2 linked regions of the Pelodiscus sinensis genome follow. The protein of the gene in region 1 binds, or shares a complex with, the protein of each later gene. Links are inferred from orthologs where the notes say so. Each region holds a gene or a part of one and is shown on either strand. Other genes may lie near its edges.

Region 1 (10,135 bases):
TCGGGGGAAGGGAGGGGAGGTGTTTTTCACACCCCTGAGTGAGAAAGTTACGGCGCAGTGAAGTAGCAGTGTAGACAAGCCCTTAAGATGTATAATTCAGGGATAACAAAGGGCTTTGAGACAGGCTGAGTCTCTCAGCCTTCAGCCCACGCTGCAGAGAATCCGCCTGAAGGTGCCTAGACAGGTTAATTCGGAAATTGTGAAACTGGTGACAGTGCAAGTCCTACTCTCCTCTCTGCCACGGCTGGGCCTCTCTCCCCACCGTCCCTCCTGCGAGGTGTAAGCGCACCCTGGTCTGACACACCTCTTCGAGGAGCCTTCAACCACGGAAAATGCCAGGCAGTCAGCGGCCCACAGAAAAGAGAAAACCAGGGTACAGGGATTCAAATCAGACCCACAGACTGGCAGCATTGTGTGCAGACAGCCCTTTGACCCGTCAGCCTCAATGTGCTTTTATAGACTCCTTTGTAGTCTGATCACGACTTGCCGAATGTTTACGGCTCTTCAATGAATGCAGAATTCCTCGGGAATGGCAGAAACTCATGTGACACCCAAGGGCAAGCGGGCCACCTGCCAAGTGCCAGGGAGCGGAGCGGGGAGTGAGTCACACAACCTGGGGCCATGCATCCGCCCGCACAAGAGCCTTTGTGCTCTGCCCTGGAAAGGGGGGAGGCAGGGCTTGGCAAACCTTCTTGGGAGCTTGGAGGCGCGAGGGGGATGGGTCACAGGGCGTCTGCCACAGCCGTGGCTTCGGTGACCAAACCTAGGCCACGCAGGGACTGTTGCTATAGCGGTGGGCCCCGATCCTCAGACCTAGTGGGCCAGCAGTGTCTAGAGCAGGGACGGGCAATAATTTTTTGCCAGGGGCCACTTCGAAAAGTTTGGAAGTGGCTCCGGGCATTGAGCGGAAGGGGCAGGGCAAGATATTTCTGGGTTCCCACCCTCAGACAATGACAGGTCTGGGGGTGAGGGAGTGCCTTTGCCCCACCCCAAGTTCCCCCAAGATGCCCATGCCCCTGGTGTGGGAGGAGACTTCCCTCGCTCCCCTGCTGGAAGGTTATTTAAATCCCGGAAGTAGCCCCAAATCCCAAGGCCCAGCAGTGTCTTAAAGCCGGCTTCCTCCCTGAGCTCCATGGGGCTTGCCCTTCTGCACCCGCCATCTCACCCTCGGTGCACAGTGGGATGGGGGTGGAGGCAAAGATGGCTTTGAGAGGGCCCCGATCCTCAGCTGTTCAGTCCCCAGCACGAATCAGAGCCAGCGGTCCCCTCGTTGGGGTCTCCAATGGCCTATTATGGCAGCTGGAGACAGGCAGCGTAGGGAAGTTAACTGAATAGTCGATTAACCTCGTGAGTTTTTATCAGTTACTCGACTCTTCTATAGTCCCTGGGGGCGGGGCCAGCAGCCAGCGCACACTGGCCACACCCCCAAGGAGCCCCATCACCCCACACTGCTGCTCTGAATCAGAGGCAGCAGCGTGGTGTACCCTGTGGGTGCTGGTCCATTAGAGGAGCCTGTTTAAAAACCAGCTCCTCACGAGGACCGGGTGCCTGCCACCCCGCGCTGCTGTCCAGGGTGGGTGCTGAGCTCCCGGATCCTGCACGAGCCAGAACTGAGCCAGGCTGCCTGGCTCCTGATACACTTTAAATGCAGAGCCACAGCGTGGGTAGGTCTCAGACCGGGCACTGAGCCAGCTAAACAATTTGTGGGGGGGGGGGGGGGGAAATGCATTAACCTATAAAGCTTTTGCTTATCAGTTAATCAGCTACAGCATTCCGCCCCCAAGGCAGACGTCTGCCAACCTCTGCCAACCGTCAGGAGCGGGGGGGGCAGAGGAGTTGCTCTCCCCTCTCTATGGGGCTCCCCCTCTAACAGGTGGGCTTCCTCTGGCCGGCTTCTCAGCTGCCTCGGGCCGTGAGGGCTTTGCCACCCTCCTGCTTCACGAGCCGCCTCCGCGAATGTCTCACACTCTGGCTCACCACGTGTCCAGAGCAGGACGTGGGGGTGGGGTGGGGTGGGGGGCAGGGGGAATGGCCATGACTTATCAGTTAATGGTTCGTAAAGAGCCATCAGCCTGTCTAAAAGAAAGGGCTTGGAGTTGGCTTTCGCCACCATTTCCCATGACACACCACTTAGCGTTCATTCCAGCTCTGTGTGTCACCACTTTCCCTCCTCGTTACGCCTCGTGCACGCTTTCCCTCCGTAGCTAGAATCCCCGCTTCTAGCCCAGCCCAGGGTGGGAGCGAGCAAGACGTTAGCCCCGGGTAGCAGCTGCTTCGGAGCTGCTGGGAAACGTGTTGGTGGGTCCCCGCGTGGCTACGTGGGAGCAGGTGTCAAAACCACCACCTACAGCGGCACCAATTAGGTCCCGAGATGGTCTCAACAGAGCAGCTAAAAACTCAATGGTCGGACTCAGCAGTCCAGTGGCAGCCCCACTCCCCTCCCCCCGCCCTGCTGTTTCATTGTGAGGGATGGCTGCTAAAGAAAACCATCTCCATCAAACCCAACAGAGCATAGCAAGCTCTGGGAACAGCTCCCAGCCTTCCACCAGCCCAGCTTTAAAGCGCCACGAGCTCTCCTTTCCCACCATGCCTGCTGTTGTTTACAAACCTGCCGCCCTCTGATCTTCTCCCTCCCCCACTCCCATCTCTCCAGTCGCTGGATTAAGATTTGGACGGCAGTCAAATATGTAACATTTATCGTCACGGCCTGAGCTGCGCGAACCCTGCAGGTCACAGCCGTGCAGACAGCGCCAGGCAGAAAGCGCCAGGGCAAAATTCCCACCCGGCCTGGGGCAGCAAGTTGTCTAAATCAGCCATGTCAGCCTTCCAGCACCTCTCTCAGCACGTTCTCCCTCCTCCCTGAGCTGTGGGACCGCAGGCGGCTCTCTTCGCCAGGTCTCGCCCACTACCCAAAGTTGGTCCGATAAAAGCTATGACCTCACCACCCCCTTGTCCCTCTAATATCCCAGGACCAACCTGGTTACAACAGTGCAAACTCCAGCTATGTCCAGTAAGGGCACAAACGTGGAGCAGACACTTATGCCTAATGGTCGTTGCAGGAACCTCTGTTCGAATCCATAACATGCATAAACCTGTCAGGGGACATTTTAATCTTCCTGGTCACTCAATCATGGATTTAAAAGTAGCCATTCTTCTACAAAGGAATTTCACTAACCAATTACAGAGAGCGTCTGCAGAACTGGAATTCATCTTCAAATTTGACACTGTTACCGTAGGCTTGAACAAACACCTTAACTGGTTGGCACAAAGAAAAGCCAATTTCTCCTGCCTCTATCATGCACATTTTCACAACAAATGCTGTGAACGGGACACATCCAGACCACTTAATTCGCCTCATTAACACAGGCCCTACAATTGACAGGTACTTGTTCTGCTGTTAAATATATACATCTGGTTTTCTGTTATTTCCACTCCAATTTCGTGGGCAAAGCCCACGAAAGCTCATGATTCCATTTTTTTTGTTAGTCCCTAAGATACCGCAAGACTACTCGTGGTTTTTCAAGTTACAGACTAACCCAGCTATCCCTCTGAGCCTTTTCATTAAGGATGCTTAAGGACAGTCAATACAGAAAGGCCCTCAGAAGGAGCTACCCCAGCCATGGCTCTGCTATTTAAAATGTAGTAAAAGGCAGCCGCTTCTGTCCACCATGGTCCTGACTCTTACTAGATTTAAACTGCAGAACCACAGCTGGGGTAGCACCTTCCCTTACCGACTAATCCCGTAGTTGATACAAACGGTATCGACTACACAATTACTTCATTGCCTGCCTCTTAACATCCTTAGTCCACAAATAGAAAGAGGTGGGGCAACATTGCAGGAGGCTCGCCAGACCTGAAGGGCGGGATCCATCCACCAAGAAGACTGCTCACACCCGGCTGGAATAAAACTCTCCTCCCTCCTCCACCACTCCAGTTTCTCCTTACCTGCCTGACTCTGTGGTCAGATCCCTGCTGCTCCCCAGCAGGTGTTGGCACAGCTGAGTCCTGGGCTGCTGCAGTGGGACATTTCTCCAAGAGCCTGTGGTCAGCTGTGCCGGGCAGCTGGTGGGGTGGGGGAGTGTTAACTGTTTAATGGCAATGACTCCCCGCTGCCTAGGACGGGCCAGACCCATCCAGCTGGAAAACACACCCCAGGGTGGGCAAATATCGGAATTCAGGCCCCAAGGAAGTCACCCTCCCCCCCCACACACACACCCCAGCTTGACCCCATCGCTCTGTCTCCTGCTGGCCAAGCAGGGCACCCAGGCTGCTCTAGCTCCGGCTAGAGAAAGTTGGGCTCCCTCAGGAATCCCGGAGGGGGGAGGCGAGCTGGAAGGAGCGCAGGAGCCCGCCTGGGCCCGCCCCTCCCCCGGGCAGCGCGGAGACGCCGCGGAGGGAAGGCTGCTTTGTGATCGCCAGAGCTGCTCGCCCTATAGGAGACCGTGGGGGGGCGGGGGGGGGCGCAGCCTGCCCCAGGGCCACGGAAACATTTCGGACCCAGCCCCGGCTGCAAATCCCCGCGCAGCTACAGCGCCAGGTGCGCCCTGAAACGCCCCCGCCCTGCGGAGCGAGCAAAGCCGCACCTGGCCCCAGCCGGGCTGCTCCAGGAGCCCCGGCGGGGCGGGCAGGGCCGGGCTGGGCGCTCGCTGGCTCCGGGCCCCCCGCACGGGAGCCCCCTTCGCCCCGGTCCCGGGAGAGCCCTCCCGGCGCCTGCAGCCTCCTTGGGCGGGAGCGCGGGGGAGGCGACGGCCCGGCCCGGGGCCCGATCCCTGCCCCACGGGCCCGGGCTCTGCCCACCAGCGGCGGGGGAGGCGCCGCCGAGCCGGTACCTTGGTGCTGCTGCAGGGCGAGCCGCGTCCGGCGGGAGCGCTCCGAGGCGAGACCCGGCCGGGGCCAGGCGGGCTGGGCTGCAGCGGCGCCCGCGAGCGACCTCCAGGGGGGCGGGGGCGGCTTCACCTGCAGCGTCCTGCGGAGCCGCCCTGAGTCTGCGAGTTACCCCGCCCCCTCCGGCCGGCTGTGCGCGGAGAGACAGCCACACCCCCCACACAGCCAGTGCCACACCCCCCCACACACACACAGACACAGCCACACCCCCCCCCACACACAGACACAGCCACACACCCCCACACACAGCCAGTGCCACACCCCCCCACACACAGACACAGCCACACCCCCCCACACACAGCCAGTGCCACACCCCCCCACACACAGACACAGCCACACCCCCCCCCACACACAGACACAGCCACACACCCCCACACACAGCCAGTGCCACACCCCCCCACACACAGACACAGCCACACACCCCCACACACAGACACAGCCACACCCCCCCACACACAGCCAGTGCCACACCCCCCCACACACAGACACAGCCACACCCCCCCACACAGCCAGTGCCACACACCCCCCCCACACACAGACACAGCCACACCCCCCCCCACACACAGACACAGCCACACCCCCCCACACACAGCCAGTGCCACACCCCCCCACACAGCCAGTGCCACACCCCCCCCCACACACAGACACAGCCACACACCCCCACACACAGACACAGCCACACCCCCCACACACAGACACAGCCACACCCCCCACCCACACACAGACACAGCCCCCCCCCCCACACAGACACAGCCACACCCCCCACACAGCCAGTGCCACACACCCCCCCCACAGCCAGTGCCACACCCCCCCACACACACAGCCAGTGCCACCCCCCCCCACACACAGCTAGTGTCACACCCCTACACACACACAGCCAGTGCCACACCCCCCCCCACACACAGCCAGTGCCACACCCCCCCACACACAGACACAGCCACACCCCCCACACAGCCAGTGCCACACCCCCCCACACACACAGCCAGTGCCACCCCCCCCCACACACAGCCAGTGCCACACCCCCCCACACACACAGCCAGTGCCACACCCCCCCCCACACACACACAGCCACTGTCACACCCCTCCACACACAGAGCCACTGTCACACCCCTACACACAGCCAGCGTCAACACCTATACAGTGTCACACCCCTACACCTCCCTAGTGTCACACCGCTACACCCACACAGCCAGTGTCACACCCCTGTACAGTATCATACCTCTACACACACACACACACACACACACAGTGTCACACCGCTTCACACACAGCCACCCATACACTCCTATGCAGTGTCAGACCCCTACACACACAGCACCAGTGTCACACCCATATACACATAGCCAGTGTCACATCCTTACACACACACAGCCACCATCACACCCCTATAAGACAACACCCAAAATATCAGGACTGTCCCTATAACATGTGGACATCTGGTCGCCCTCACGGGGTCCCTGGCCTGAGTGAGGTATTCAGGCTCCCTCTGCCCCACTTTTGTCTAAGATCCTGGCTGGGCTGCGACACCACATCAGACAGGTGTGACTCTCAGGAGTGGTGGGAAGAGACTTCGCTTCATTCCCGGGCCAGTCAGGGTTACAAAGCGTCAGCGCCGCTGTGTCAGGGGCAGAGGGTGGCTGCTGTTGCCGCCGCTATCGGCTACGCTCCATCTGCCTGCTCCGGGAAAGAGAGAGAAGCCAGACGTGTGGGTAGACAAGGTGACGGAGGTCATCTCCTTTACGGGGCCAACCTCTGCTGGTGAGAGCGCCACGCTTTGGAGCCACACAGCGATGTGCGGGTCTGGGGACAGACCCAGCCACTGTCCTACCAGGCTCCTGTAGCGTGGGGCTGAGCTCTGTCTACACTCCTCCATCAGCTGGGGGGTGGGGCAGAGAGAGGTCTGATCATGAGCTATTGAGCTGAGTTGCCCGTGGGCCCCAGACAACCCTTATCTAAGGTACCGGTTTTACTGTAATAGCTGACGAGGGTTGATGGCTGAACAGCTGTTTTCTTCCTCAAGTGCTTCTGCAGGGATTCAATCCGTTGTGGGGGTGTGCACACCCTGGGCACCTGGCCAGAGGCTGTTATCCGGCAGAGATGGCTGGCTGGCGCATGCATCCTGCGTGTCCTTGTGCCGCCAAGCGGGGGCATAAAAGGAGAGGCTGCTTCGACCCACCCCCTCCCTCAGAGCCCAGCAGTGAAGTCTCTTCCTTCTTGCTTATCAGAAGTTTCTCCTTGTGCAAACAGTCTGCAACTAGGAGAGTCGTTAGCGCCTGTATTATAATGTTTCCTTTGTTCTCCCGGATAGGAAATCCTTGTGGGTAGTCTGGTACAAGCTTAGTCATGCACAAGTCCCCAGGTTTTAATGCCTGCTCCTCCTGCCAGGCATTCAGGTCTGTTAATGAGGGACATACCAGACGCCTCCTTCCTCAGGCTGAGTGCCCAGTGGTTCATTTGAATACAGACCACGCCCCTTCGAGTGGCCATGCCTCTCCCTCCAAGCATTGTCACCTGGCCCGCATGGTTGCTGCACCCTTCGGGCCTTGTGCGTCCGCCTTGGTACAGATGGCAAGATGGACGTGCCAGACCTGAATTGCGTTGCACCCCCGTGTGCTAGGGTCAATGTTCAGCGAGCCGGGCCCTTCACCCTCGTCTCCATCTGCGCAGGGGTGGATGTGACAAGGCAGAGTGGCACTGCGACCCCGGAGGTCAGGTTACAAGACCTGGAGTGGGGGCCTGGGTTTGGGAGCTCAGAGCGATCATGGCAGATAGACTTGGGGTCTATGGTCTACCTGAAAATCACCTTGTAGCTGAGGGGCACTCTTTATGTCTGTGGGGTTTTCCTACCATCTATCAAAAAACCTCCCCTTCCTTCCTTCCTCTCTCTCTTTCTCTCTTCCCCCTCTCTTTCCTCCTCTCCTCCCCCGGAATAAATTGCCTAGGGAGGTTGTAGAATCTCCATCGCTGGAGTTATTTAAGAGCAGGTTAAACAGACACCTGTCAGGGATGGCCTAGATCAGAGGTCACCAACCAGTCAATCGGGATCGACTGGTAGATCTTCGTAGATCACCTCTGACAGGGGATCCTGACTGGTTTGGCCAAGAGGCTGTCAAGTGCTGGCACTTCAGCTGTCCCTCCCCCCACTGCTGTGCATCGCCTGCCCTTTGCCTTAGAGCTGCCTCCTCCCATCCCTGGGAGCCTCCTGCTTGCTGGGCAGGGCAGGGGAGGGAAAAGAGGACGCTGATGTCAGGGTGCCCCCTCTCCCACTCTGTATCCTATCTCCATAGAGCAGAGTGAGGAGCACAACAGGACTTGGGAGGGAGTTTGCTGGCTGCCTTTGGGAGTGGGGCAGGGCCCGGGCAGGGATGAGTCTGCCTTAGCCCCACTGCATCACTACCCAAGAGCCACCTGAGGTGAGCAGTGCCCAGCTGGAGCCCACATCCTGAACGCCTCCTTAGCCAGGAACCCCCTCCTGTACCTCAAACCCCGCCCCGAGCCCCCCTGCATCCAAACACCCTCTCAGAGCCTGCACCTAGAACCCCCTCCGGCACCCCAACTGCCTGCCCCAAGCTCAGCTCAGAGCCCCTCTCACTTCAAATCCCTTAATCCAAGACCAGAGCCTGCACCCCAACCCTCTGCCCCTGCCTGGTGAAAGTGAGGGAGGATGGGGGAGGGAGGATGGAGAGAGCAGGGGGCGGGGCCTCAGAGAAGGGGCGGGAAGGAGGCAGGGCCAGGGTGTTTGGGTGCGGGGTAGATCTTACATTGCACGTCAATTCAGAAAGTGATCTTGTGCTAAAAAAGGTAGGAGACCACTGGTCGAGATGGTACTGGGTTCTGCCGTGGGGCAGGGGACTGAACTCCGTGACCTCTCGAGGTCCCTTCCAGTCCCAGTGTTCTGTGAGTCCCAGCCCAGTAATGACACACCATGCAATTGCCATGTTGTATCTCAGCAAACCATGGAGGGTGAGTTCCAGCCCCTGTTTTCTGGATCTGCATCCGGAACGGCCTCGCTCTCAGGGCATCTGCTCTTCCCAGTGGCTACAATGCTCTAGCTCAGGGCTACTCAGCTTTGGAACCCAGGGCCCACAGTGATACTCACAGCACATGCCGAGAGCCGCAACTTCAGTGTGGGTGCATAGACATGCAAATATCTATGCAAAGATATGCAAACAGCTTCTTTCACACAATGCCCCGGTGCTCCCGGCACCTCCTCCCTGGGGGCTAGAAACACCGACACTCTGTCCCTGTCGGTTCCAGCCAGCCCGTCGGCTTGCCTTCTTCAGTGCTCACCCCGCCGGGGAGACGCCTCGCCACTGTGGAGCTTGTTCCCAGTGTCGGCCATGTTCAAAGGATCCCACCTGCTGAGCCCCGCGTAAACCCGAACCACACTGCAGGCTGCAAGCAAATGGGCCGCCTGCGGCCAGCTCTAGCCGGTCACCTGAGCAGAAGTCGATCAGGGACCCCGAATGGACTCTGACATCCAAAATAGCCGCCAGAGCATTGACATGAGAGCAGCCCAAAATGCTTTCACTCTGCTGTGCACGGCTGAGGCAAGTCTGCTTTCCAGCTCACACTCCCACAGTCCTGCCTCCCAGAAGCCTGCCACTTCTCCCAGACGGACTCTTCCGGGATCTTGGCGAAGACCCTCCTCTTGCTCCTGTCACTGTGTGGATTTTGACTGGCCAGTGACATCAGAGGTTCTGCCTGCATGGTGTCCAGATCACCTTGTTTAACAGCCGGCAAAGCTCAACCAGATCAACTGACATAGCTAAGTGGGGAGCTAGATTCAATTTGGGCTAGCCACCATCCACAGCTCAGAGTCAAGATCTCCTCAACCCCCCGCTAGACTTTGAAACCCTCAGGTCGCTCTGCAAGTTCAATAAGAGCCATCTTTGCTCTCCAGTTGCTCTCGGCCTGTAGGTGTTCTGTTTGGTTTAATTTCCGGTAAGGGAACTTCTGCCTTCCCTTGACCTTAATTCAGGACTGGCAAGGCTTTTGTGACGGCCGTTCAAGCCACTGTCTTCCACTTGCCAGCTCAGATAGTCATTCGAATGGCAACGACGCCATAGCAGGGAGGAGAGCGTCGCATTTTAATGGCAAGGCCCTTACCTGCTGTATTTTGTAAGGACCAACTCCCATGAAGGCCTGATTCCTCCTTTTACAGAGAGCAGGCTCCGAGTTCTGTCTGAGTCGGGTCATTTCTGTGCCAATATCCTTTGTGAAGCTGCATGCTCAGAGGATGAAGAGTTGG
Region 2 (11,144 bases), on another chromosome or scaffold:
TCATCTGTGCTGGGTTCGAAACAGCTCACTTGATGAAGCTTCTGCCACCTATGAGGTTCCCATGCTATTGCTCCCAGTTCCAAAACAGATTTACAAGGGAGTCCTTTGTGCCAATCCTTAAATCAGCAGAATAATTGCCACTGTGTGTTGCTGACACGCCTGTAGGTACGTTTGCTTTGCCTCTTTAGAGTGTTCTCTTCCTGGTGGAGATTCCAGCACTAAGACTAGACATCCTGTATTTTGGGGAGTTCAATGCCTCTCAGGACCATTTCTGACAGTCTGAACATTCCATTATTCATGGAACAAATAGGAGGCACTTCTATTCCTTCTCTGAAGAAGGAGCAATCAGGATCTCTCGAGCTAGGCAGCCAAAACACACTAGTCACTTCTGGAAACATGGGCCATGGCTTTTAATAGTAGGTGCAAAATGCCACTATTAAACAGCCCTTCTAATGAACTTAGAGCACAACTCCAGCTCTACCAGTCCTTGACCACCTCCTCCTCCTCCCAGTGTCAAATAAAATAGCTCTATTGGAAAGGAAGGCAGAGGGGGGAGGAGGCTCTGTCCCTCTCTTGACAGACGCAGGAAAGGGTCTCTTCATTAAGGACATTTTCAAAAGAGAGAAAAGAGAGTGCACTAGTCTCTACGAAAAAGCAACATTGACACAATTAGGAAAACAGTCATTTCCTATGAGACAGACCAGGGTGGATGTGAACAGGCAGGTTTGCTCTGCAACTGCATGTTGTTCATATAGTTGCTGTACATCCTTCCTGCTGGAGCTTAGCGTCGCCACAAAGAACAACTTCCCCCCCAGTCAAAAAAAAACCAACACACAAAAAAACCCACAACTAAGCCAGGAAACTAGGACAAAGAAAAGAAAAAGCTCCTTGATGAACTAGGTAACTGGGAAGGAACAAAGAAGGAAAGAGCAGTGACTCCAAAATATGGTGCTTAGATGAAGATGCTAATTTTCTACAATCTTGTTATAATGAGACTGTTGGAAATATTGCATGAGGCTCATTTTTAAACATGAATGTACACCAGAGATGAAGTGTCTACGTTCTGGTTATGATTTCATAGGGAGCTATTACATTGGAGAACATGCAGTGCAACAAGGGTGGGTTGCAGTTGAACTTACTTTAAAGGGGAATTAAGGAGATGCCAGTGTGTCCAGACAGTAGTACTGAATACATGGGAAAGGATAACAGAGGGCAGACATGTGGTCCAGCAGTTGGAACAGCAAAAAGTCTGAAGTTCCACTCCCAGATTGAAAACTTGCTCTCTGGATGCCCTTGGGTGTCACTTTACCTATCTGTAAAATGGAACTGATGCTTTCATGGCCAGAGCCATGTTGATTAAGCCATCCATGCTTGTAAATATTCAAGATCTTCTGAGGAAAGGTGCCAGAGAAGTTCACAGCACTGCAAAATGAGATCACATCTACACTACAGACTTCTGCTGGCATTAGTCATCAATCAGTGGCATGGTCCCAGACAGACACAGCTATGCCAGCCCCTATTACAGATGTCATTATACTAACAAAATTGTGCTTTGACTGGTACAATAAGTAGTCCTATGGCACCTTAGAGACTAACAAAAACATATAGGATTATGAGCTCAGCTCATCAGATGAGTTGGAGTGGAAATAACAGAATCCAAGGTGTATATATAAATGCAAAAGAAGTACCGGACAATTATCAGACTATTATGAAGACATCATCAGACATTATTGGACAATTATGAAGCTAATTAAAAGGGCTGGACGTGGGAATTTTTTTTAAATTACAGACTAACACAGCTACCCCTTAGACTTTTTTTTATTTTTTACTGGTACTGTGTGTGTGTTGGGGGGGGGATGGGACTGTAGGTGTGTGGAATACATTATACTGCTATAAGTACAGCTTTGCCAGTATAGCTACTTGCAGATTAGGCATGCTTGGCAGTATGGCCCAAGTTAAAAGTGCTGCCAACTTACTGAGGAGAGGAGAGCTGGAGCCCAGGGAAGCAAATAAATAGGAAATCCCCAGAAAACACAATCAGTTATCGGTTAAAGCAGTGTTTCCTGTGTCTATGACCAGCAAACCAGAAAAGAAGACATTTGTAGATAATCATCTTTCACTAGCTGGGGTGGGATGGGGATGGAATCATATAAACAGATTATCTTGAACAAGTGCTGTCAGTTCACACAACCAAGAAGAAATGGGTGTTTCAAAATAATATTTTTTAAAAACTTCAGACTTCACCCTCAGTGAACGCTTCATTTCACAGTTCCAGGCACTGCATTTTCTAGCTGTCAGCGGAGCCAGGGATTCCCAGGGAACCAGAATTTCATGGGAATGAAAAGGAGTTCCCAGCAGTGTCTCCCTCTAGTCTAAACTGCCTCTCTGAGATGGTGCTGCTCAGTGGTGGGGTCCGATCAATGGAAATATATGCGGTCAACTCAGTTTAAAAGTAGGGTGAAAACGGATGTATCCTTTCCTGCCAGCAAAAGCAGGGCAGGGAGGTGGTGTTCCACTACTGCACAGGCTGTAAAAAAGCTGCAAGAACCACCAATCATCTGAGACAGCCCTGGTCATCCTAGCACCAAAGCATCACTGACTGACCCTAACATGTCCAGCAATAACTGGACACATCAGCTCCAACTCAGGAAGGAAAAGGCATGAGAAATAAATAGCCAAACAGAACAAAGAACACAGCCCTTCACCCACAAAAAAACCCTGGGGGGGGGGGGCTCATAACTGGGACAAACATGTTGACCTTATTACACAGACAGGCCTATGCAACCTATTGTTCAATTAACACAGTGGTGTAGAGCTGATTAACTATTCATTGCAGGCAACTACTAGAAAACCCCTCTTGCTATGTACAGGGTAAGATTTACTTCTCAAATAACATGAAAAACAACAGGGCTCAAGTTCTTCAGACCGTTACTTAAAAACAACCAAAACCGGATCTCTTCTAAAATCTAGAGCCGTGGAAACTCAGGCAAAGATTTTCCCGAGATTCGGGGTGTGGTCCCTGCAAAATTCTCCAAGCAGGGAGAGAGTGCGAGACGATGGGAGGGGTGTAGATCGCCCTTCTATGTAGCTCGTCCTAATTTGTCTAGCTTATAAACAACTAACTGGCTTTTAACTCTCTCCTTCCTACCCGTAGCAGCCCTTTCCCAAGCAACCAACCCTAACTCTCAGTCTTAATCTCACAGCAACAGTTTCCCATTCATATCTCAAGGCTGGGAAACATCCTCCCCCACTCTGTCCGGATTCCCTGTTCGCAATACCAGAAGAGGAGGAGCACTAGATAGATTTTTTTAAAATCAGGTTTACGTGTCTCCTCATTTTGAGCTAATTTGTTTTTTAGAGCCAACTTCACTCTACATATTAGAACATTTGGCATCAAAACTAATTACACAGATAAAAAATCTTTATAGAAGAGGTTCCCCCCCTTTAAAAAAAAGGAAAGGAAAGGAAAGGGGGGGGGGAGAAACAGGTCTGACTCCAGTTTCCAGCCTCTAATCACGGGTTTGCACGCTTTAGTGATTATTTAGTGCCCATCTACTAGAACGCCAGAAGACAAATCGGTCTGCAGATGTAGTTATAACTCATTCCCACGAGCGAAACACCCTCAGATGTTATGTAACTACGCACCAGACTTAGTACCCACACCTTCTCCACTCAGCAGAGATAAACAGAGCTCCTCCATGCCTCCCAAGCGTCTACCAATTCAGTTTACAGGTGGTTTACTAACTCTGGAGGGCGTCGGTGCATTTTAACCCTGGATCAATCAACGAAAGCCTTCCGAATGTAACAGCCCGTTAAAACCCACCTCTAGATTTACGGGGATATTTTTTTTTTTAAAAAAAAACCCAATTCTGAACGGTTCCTTAGCAGGATAGGAAGAGCTCACGGCTCAGGCCCTTGTGTGTTTCCAATGCAACAACCATTTTTCCTGGGCTAAGCCTCCTCCATCTTCCAAGCCCTCTGCAGCTCCCTCATCGCTCGTAGCGGTTCGGGGCAGGAGGTTTTGCGCCTCCAGCTCACACCAAGCAAAGCCAAGTCGCCGCTCCATGCTGAGCCCGCTGCATTGTTTGGGGGAGGGAATCTTCCCCCCCCCCCCCCCAGCCAGGAGGAGAAAACACAACACAGCCCCCCACGCATCGCAGGAGACACCACGCCGCCCCCTGCAGCGCCGCGAGACCAGGGGGGAAGAAGCGCACTCACCCAAAAGACAAAATTGAAGACGAAGAGCAGGTATTTGATGCACTTGGTGCAGCCTTCCACTCCCATGGCGGCAGAGGTCGGTGGGCAGAGCTGCCTGCCAGACGGGGCCTGTTAAATCAGAGCGAGCAAAAGCGCCGCAGCTCTTGTAGAGGGTGGTCCTCTCTGTTTTCCTTTGGGACTTCCGCTGACTGGCGAGGTGCTAGGCTGTTTCTCCGCTTTATCTCCTCCCTCCTTCCACTACAGACACCCCCCGACTCTGTTGCTAAGCCAGGATCCTCCCACTCAGACGTAGGTCGTTTTTCCAGAAGAGGCTACCGCCTCCTGGGGGCAGCCAGCCCAAAGTCCCCCCGCCGACTTTCAACCCACGTCTGAAATGCCACAGAGATGATAATAAATAATAATAATAATAATAAATAATAATACTTGGCCGTTCTCAAGCAACTCTGAGAGGAGACTGATGGATAAGTAGCTCTGGGTCCCGGTTTACAAATCAAAGTGACTACTGAAAAATATATTGCTAAAGGATCATTGAATTCAGCAGTGGAGCCGCTCTGTGCCTGGGAATTTTTCCAGATGCCTGCTGGAAATTTGGGGTAGTTCAGGTTAAATCTGGCCGTTTTAAATTTGGGAAAGCTTTTGCGCATTGATTTCCCCCCCCGGCCCCATCCCCATCTAATATGTATAATTTGTATTAGACCTGATGCCACAAAACACCCTCGCATCCCCAGCTCCCTGCCATAACACCCCTGCACCCCCCCAAGCCCCAACCCTGTTCCCTTAGCCCATCATACACCTCAACCCCCTGTCCTCAGCCCCTTATACATCCCAACCTGGACTCCTGCACCCCCCACAACCCCAGCCCCTGCCATAACATCCCTGCACCCCCACACTCCAACTCTGTGCCCATTATACACACCAGCTAAGACTCCTGCACCCCCACATCCCAGTCTCATGCTTACTCATGCTTAACTATACTGTGGGGACTACTCCCATTGAAATCAATGTGACTACTTAGGGAAGTAAACTTAAGCACTCCATCTGAGGCCTAATCAGTGTAGAGTAGAGTGGAAATCTTGCTGCTTGTGTCTTGTTTATATCAGTGTTTCTCAACCAGTGGTACGAGTACCCTTAGGGGTACTCAAGAGAAGTGTGGGGGATATGTCAACACAATTGAAATTTGGAGAAAACTGAATTTTTGTTTTAAGTTTTATTGCGTTTTATTATTTTTGTACTTTTTAGACCCACAAATTTCAGCGCCCACCCTGCTACGATGAAGTTGTTTAAACAAAGGTGTTGCAATGGTAGAAAAAAATTGTGTGTCTGAAAACTGTAGGTACTGGGGGTACTTATATATATATATTTTTTGTGAAGGGGTACTTTATAAAAAAGGATGAGAAACACTGGCTTATATCACTTCTGTTTTTACATACTGGAATGAGGTTTGCTTTTTTTGCAGCAGTGTCAAACTGTTCACTTGTAGTTAGTTTGCGGTCCACTATGACTTCTAGATCCCTTTCTGCAATACCGTATATTCCGGCGTACAAGACGACCTCTGATGTTAAAAAACATCCCCCCAAAATCGGGGGTCGTCTTGTACGCCGGATGCACCGCCGCCGGAGCCCCTCCGCGGCTTTGAAAGCCTCGGGGGAAGCCGGCGGGGGGGCATCCCAGGCGCGCATGGGCTGCCCCCCCCCCCCCGGAGCCCCTCCGCGGCTTTGAAAGCCTCGGGGGAAGCCGGCGGCGGGGCATCCCAGGCGCGCATGGGCTGCCCCCCCGCCGGAGCCCCTCCGCGGCTTTGAAAGCCTCGGGGGAAGCCGGCGGCGGGGCATCCCAGGCGCGCATGGGCTGCCCCCCCGTCGGAGCCCCTCCGCGGCTTTGAAAGCCTCGGGGGAAGCCGGCGGCGGGGCATCCCAGGCGCGCATGGGCTGCCCCCCCGTCGGAGCCCCTCCGCGGCTTTGAAAGCCTCGGGGGAAGCCGGCGGCGGGGCATCCCAGGCGCGCATGGGCTGCCCCCCCGTCGGAGCCCCTCCGCGGCTTTGAAAGCCTCGGGGGAAGCCGGCGGCGGGGCATCCCAGGCGCGCATGGGCTGCCCCCCCCCCCCCGGAGCCCCTCCGCGGCTTTGAAAGCCTCGGGGGAAGCCGGCGGCGGGGCATCCCAGGCGCGCATGGGCTGCCCCCCCGCCGGAGCCCCTCCGCGGCTTTGAAAGCCTCGGGGGAAGCCGGCGGCGGGGCATCCCAGGCGCGCATGGGCTGCCCCCCCGTCGGAGCCCCTCCGCGGCTTTGAAAGCCTCGGGGGAAGCCGGCGGCGGGGCATCCCAGGCGCGCATGGGCTGCCCCCCCGCCGGAGCCCCTCCGCGGCTTTGAAAGCCTCGGGGGAAGCCGGCGGCGGGGCATCCCAGGCGCGCATGGGCTGCCCCCCCGACGGAGCCCCTCCGCGGCTTTGAAAGCCTCGGGGGAAGCCGGCGGCGGGGCATCCCAGGCGCGCATGGGCTGCCCCCCCGTCGGAGCCCCTCCGCGGCTTTGAAAGCCTCGGGGGAAGCCGGCGGCGGGGCATCCCAGGCGCGCATGGGCTGCCCCCCTGCCGGAGCCCCTCCGCGGTGGCGCGGAGGGGCTCCGGCGGGGGGGCAGCCCATGCGCGCCTGGGATGCCCCGCCGCCGGCTTCCCCCGAGGCTTTCAAAGCCGCGGAGGGGCTCCGGCGGGGGGGCAGCCCATGCGCGCCTGGGATGCCCCGCCGCCGGCTTCCCCCGAGGCTTTCAAAGCCGCGGAGGGGCTCCGGCGGGGGGGCAGCCCATGCGCGCCTGGGATGCCCCCCCGCCGGCTTCCCCCGAGGCTTTCAAAGCCTCGGAGGGGCTCCGGCGGGGGGGGGGGGGGGCAGCCCAGGCGCTCCTGGCGGCTTTGCTCCCGGTGCCTCTGGTCTGCTGGGGACCATCTCCAGCAGACCAGGGACACCGGGAGCAAAGGAGGCGGAGGGGCGCTGGGGTATAAGATGAAACCCTATCTTTTAATTAAAAAGATAGGGGGTCGTCTTATACACCCAGTCGCCCTATACGCCGGAAAATACGGTACTCCTTCCTAGGCAGTCATTAGGGTTGCCAAATGGTTTCAGCAAAAATACTGGACACACTTGACATTACATCACAATCTACATTACATCTTATTTAGAAAATACCGGCCATTTATATTTTCTCAATTTGTTTCCCGAACAGAACGCTCAAATACTGAACTGTCTGGTTCAAAACCGGACACCTGGCAACCCTAGTCATTTCCCATTTTGCATGTGTGCAGTTGATTTTTCCTTCCCAAGTGGAGTACTTTGCATTTGTCCTTATGGAATTTCATCCTATTTACCTGAGACCATTTGTCCAGTTTGTCAAGATCATTTTGAATTATAATCCTATCCTCCAAAGCACTTGCAACCCCTCCCAGCTTGGGATCTTCCACAAAATTTATACGAATATTCTATATGTAATTATATAAATCGTTGATGATGATAGTGAACAGAACCAGACCCATTACCAAGCTCTGTGGGACCCCACTCATTATGTCCTTCCATAATGACTGTGAACTATTGATAATTATTAGGGCTCGACAAACCTTTTTATCTACTCGCCTGTGGCGAGTAGATTTTAGCCGGTCGCCCTGTTCACTGGCGGTGCACACATGCGCAGTGCGGGTCTGGCGCATGCATGGTGTGGGGCTGGCAAGTGGATTTCGCCGCGGTTTGTCGAGCCATGATAATTACTCTCTGGGAATAATCAACCAGTTATGCACCCACTATATAGTAGTCCACTCTACGTTGTATTTCACTAGTTTATTAATGAGAAAGACATTTGAGATTGAATCCAAAGCTTTTCTAATGTCTAGGTAGACCACTTCTACTACTTCCTCTTATCAACAAGGTTTGCTATGCCATCAAAGAAATCTATCAGGTTAGTTTGACATGATTTGTTCTTTAAAAATCCATGTTGACTGTTTCTTCTCTCATTATCTTCTAGATGTTTGCAAGTGGATTCCTTAATTATTTGTGCCATGATCTTTCCTGTTACAAAAGTGAAAATGACTGGCCTGTATTTCCTGGGTTGTCCTTATTTCCCTTTTTATAGGTGGGCTTTTTCCAGGCTTCTGGAATCTTTCCTGTCTTGTATTATCTTTGAAAAGTCATGGCTAATGGCTCAGATATCTCCTCAATCAGCTCCTTTGAGTATTCTAGGATGCATTTCATCAGGCCTTGGGAACTTGAAGACATCTAGCTTGTACAAGTAATTGTTAATTTATTCTTTTTCTAATTTTTTTTAACTCCGGAACCTACCTTATTTTCACCAGCAATCACAATGCTAGGTGTACAATCACCACCAGCCATCTTAGCGACAACCAAAATGAAGCCATTAAGTACCTCTGCCATTTCCACATTTTTGTTATTGTTTTCCCCTCTTTACTGAGTAGTGGTTCCAACCTGTCCTTCCCCTTCTAAAACATTTGTAGAATATTTTCTTGTTACCCTTTATGTCACTAGCTAGTTTGAGTTCATTTTGAGCCTATGCCTTTCTAATTTTGCCCCATACATAGTTTTGTTGTCTGTATTCATCCTTTATAACTTGATCTAGTTTCTTCTTCTTGTGGGACTCCTTTTTGATTTTCATATCACTCATGATCTCCTGGTTAAACCAGCGTGGTCTCTTCCGTACTTCTTATCTTTCCTGTGTTGTAGGAAAGTTTGCTTTTGCACCCTTAATAATGTCCCTTTGAAAAACTGCCAACTCTCCAATTTTTTTTTCCTCTTAAGGTGTGTCAATACTGCACTCATAGCTCGAAATAATCTATGCAATTTGAGCTATGCAAATTGCATAGCTTATTTTGAGTCAACTTTGAAATAGCTTATTTCAAAATGTAGTGCTGTCTACTCAGCAGTTATTTCAAAATAAATCGCTATTCCGAAACGTCCCTTACTCCTTGTGGAATGAGGTTTAGAGGGATGCCATAATAGTAAGCCTGTTATATTTTGAAATAACAGGTATGCTCAAAAGACGCAGAATAGCTATTTTGGGATACCTCTGGTATCCTGAAATAGCACTGCAGTGTAGACGTAGCCCAAGAGACTTGCTTCCCATGGGACCTTCCCTAACAATTCCCTGAGTTTATTAAAGTCTGCCTTCTTGAAATTCATTGATTTATTTTGCTTTTTTCCCTCCTACCATTCCTTAGGATCATTAACTCTATCATTGCATGATCACTTTCATCCAAGTTGCCTTCCACTTTCAAATTCTCAATCAATTCCTTCCTACTTGTTAAAATCAAATCTAGAACTGCTTCCCTCCAATAGCTTTCTCACCTTCTGAAATTAAAAAAAAATGTCTCCAGTACATTCCAAGAACTTGCTGGAGATAATGTCTGAACTACATAGGGAGAATAATATCAAAATGAAGATGGCAAAACTATTATTTATGAATGTAGCACCTACAGGTGCCAACGAAGATCCAGATCCCATTGTTCTGAGTATTTTATATACACATAGTAAGAGAGATCCAGATCCTCAAAGGTATTTGGACACCTACCTCCCACTGATTCTTAGGCCAGCGAGTCCTTGCTGCAAAGAGCTTACAATTTTATTAAACAAGATGAAAAAAGGGAATATCCCTATTTTACAGATGCGGAACTGAGGCACAGAGCTATTGAGTGATTATCCTCTTTTCACACACACAGTCTGTAGTAAAGCCAAGAACTGAACCCATACATTCCTGATCCTTAGTCAGTGCTTTAATTATAACAGCATTTTTTGTTTGGTCTTCTGTTATAATCTGTATTGGAATTAAATATCCCCCCGGGAACATTTCAAATACAGTATTCCAGAACTGCAATGCTGAGCCTTCCATCAGTTTAGCCTGAGATCAGTTTGATTCAATGTGAAATTATCCAGAGTGTCCACACTTCAACACTGGAATTATATCCACTTGTTGGCAACACATGCATATTTTATTTCCTTATACTAGAGATGGGTCAGTTTGCTACCAAATTACAACCAGATGAAATCTGTTCACCCTGAAGGGAATCATATTTTCTGGGTTAAATCAGCTGGTGGTGCAATACATCCAGGTTTCCTGTAAACTTACACTGGTATCAGAGAAACACATTCCGTGACAAGCACTCCAGCTTCTAGGAATGTACCAGAAAGGAACAAGAGGGGGGCCCAGCAGCACAGTGTTTATTATAGCTTTTGAATCACTGGTGTCCATTTTATTATGGGTAAATGAAAGTACCATGTCAAAACTTGTGTTTCTCTCATGTGACCTTATTGGGAAAGCAGAGATCTGTAAAGCTATGGATGGTGTGGAAATCCACTTGGCCCCAGAGCCTCAAAGATAATTAGGTGCCTAATTCCCAATGAAATAAATACGAGTTGGGTCCTCTGAAGATCTGAGCCTTGGCTATTGGGTAAAACTGCAGAGTTAGATGTGTGTAAATATGAAGCAAATTAGTGTTTCTTACCAGCAAAATGACAGGCTTTGCTCAGGCTAGTTTAATCCTTCTGTATTCTAGAAGGAAGTAACGACAGGTATTATTCTCCCGGGGCACTCACAGAGAAACCATTCCCCCATGGAGAAGGAAGACAGGGAAGTATGGCCCTACTCCTTCCATGCTGGTCGTTGAATGGACCCAGCACAGTGGGAGGAACTCAAAGGCTGGCCCACACACTAGGAAGCTCGAGGAGACCTTATGCTCTCATTATGGTGGTGTAAAAAACTGCACTTAAGAGGCCAATGGGAATACTGTGGGCCATCATCAGGGCTTAATTATGACATTCTGAGGCCCTAAACTATGTTAAGTGTAAGTGGCCCCATACATTAAAAGGAAATGTATTATTTTCACAGAAAGGACATTGAATATATAAACACCAAAGCTCTATATTTGCAATATATACAAAGATGAAGT

What was found.
Region 2: ADGRG1 (region 1) and CD81 share a complex: the UniProt entries of both Homo sapiens proteins name them as parts of the GPCR-tetraspanin complex. The link is inferred for Pelodiscus sinensis from reciprocal best matches to the Homo sapiens genes ADGRG1 and CD81.

Annotation. Positions count from the first base shown.
Region 1 is NC_134722.1:45,564,844-45,574,978, reverse strand, and holds the start of ADGRG1 (adhesion G-protein coupled receptor G1), read right to left. Parts: upstream 4,209-10,135; 5' UTR 4,134-4,208; coding exon 3,946-4,133; intron 1-3,945. UniProt on the Homo sapiens protein: Adhesion G-protein coupled receptor (aGPCR) for steroid hormone 17alpha-hydroxypregnenolone (17-OH), which is involved in cell adhesion and cell-cell interactions.
Region 2 is NC_134714.1:115,679,118-115,690,261, forward strand, and holds the start of CD81 (CD81 antigen), read right to left. Parts: upstream 4,489-11,144; 5' UTR 4,285-4,488; coding exon 4,219-4,284; intron 1-4,218. UniProt on the Homo sapiens protein: Structural component of specialized membrane microdomains known as tetraspanin-enriched microdomains (TERMs), which act as platforms for receptor clustering and signaling.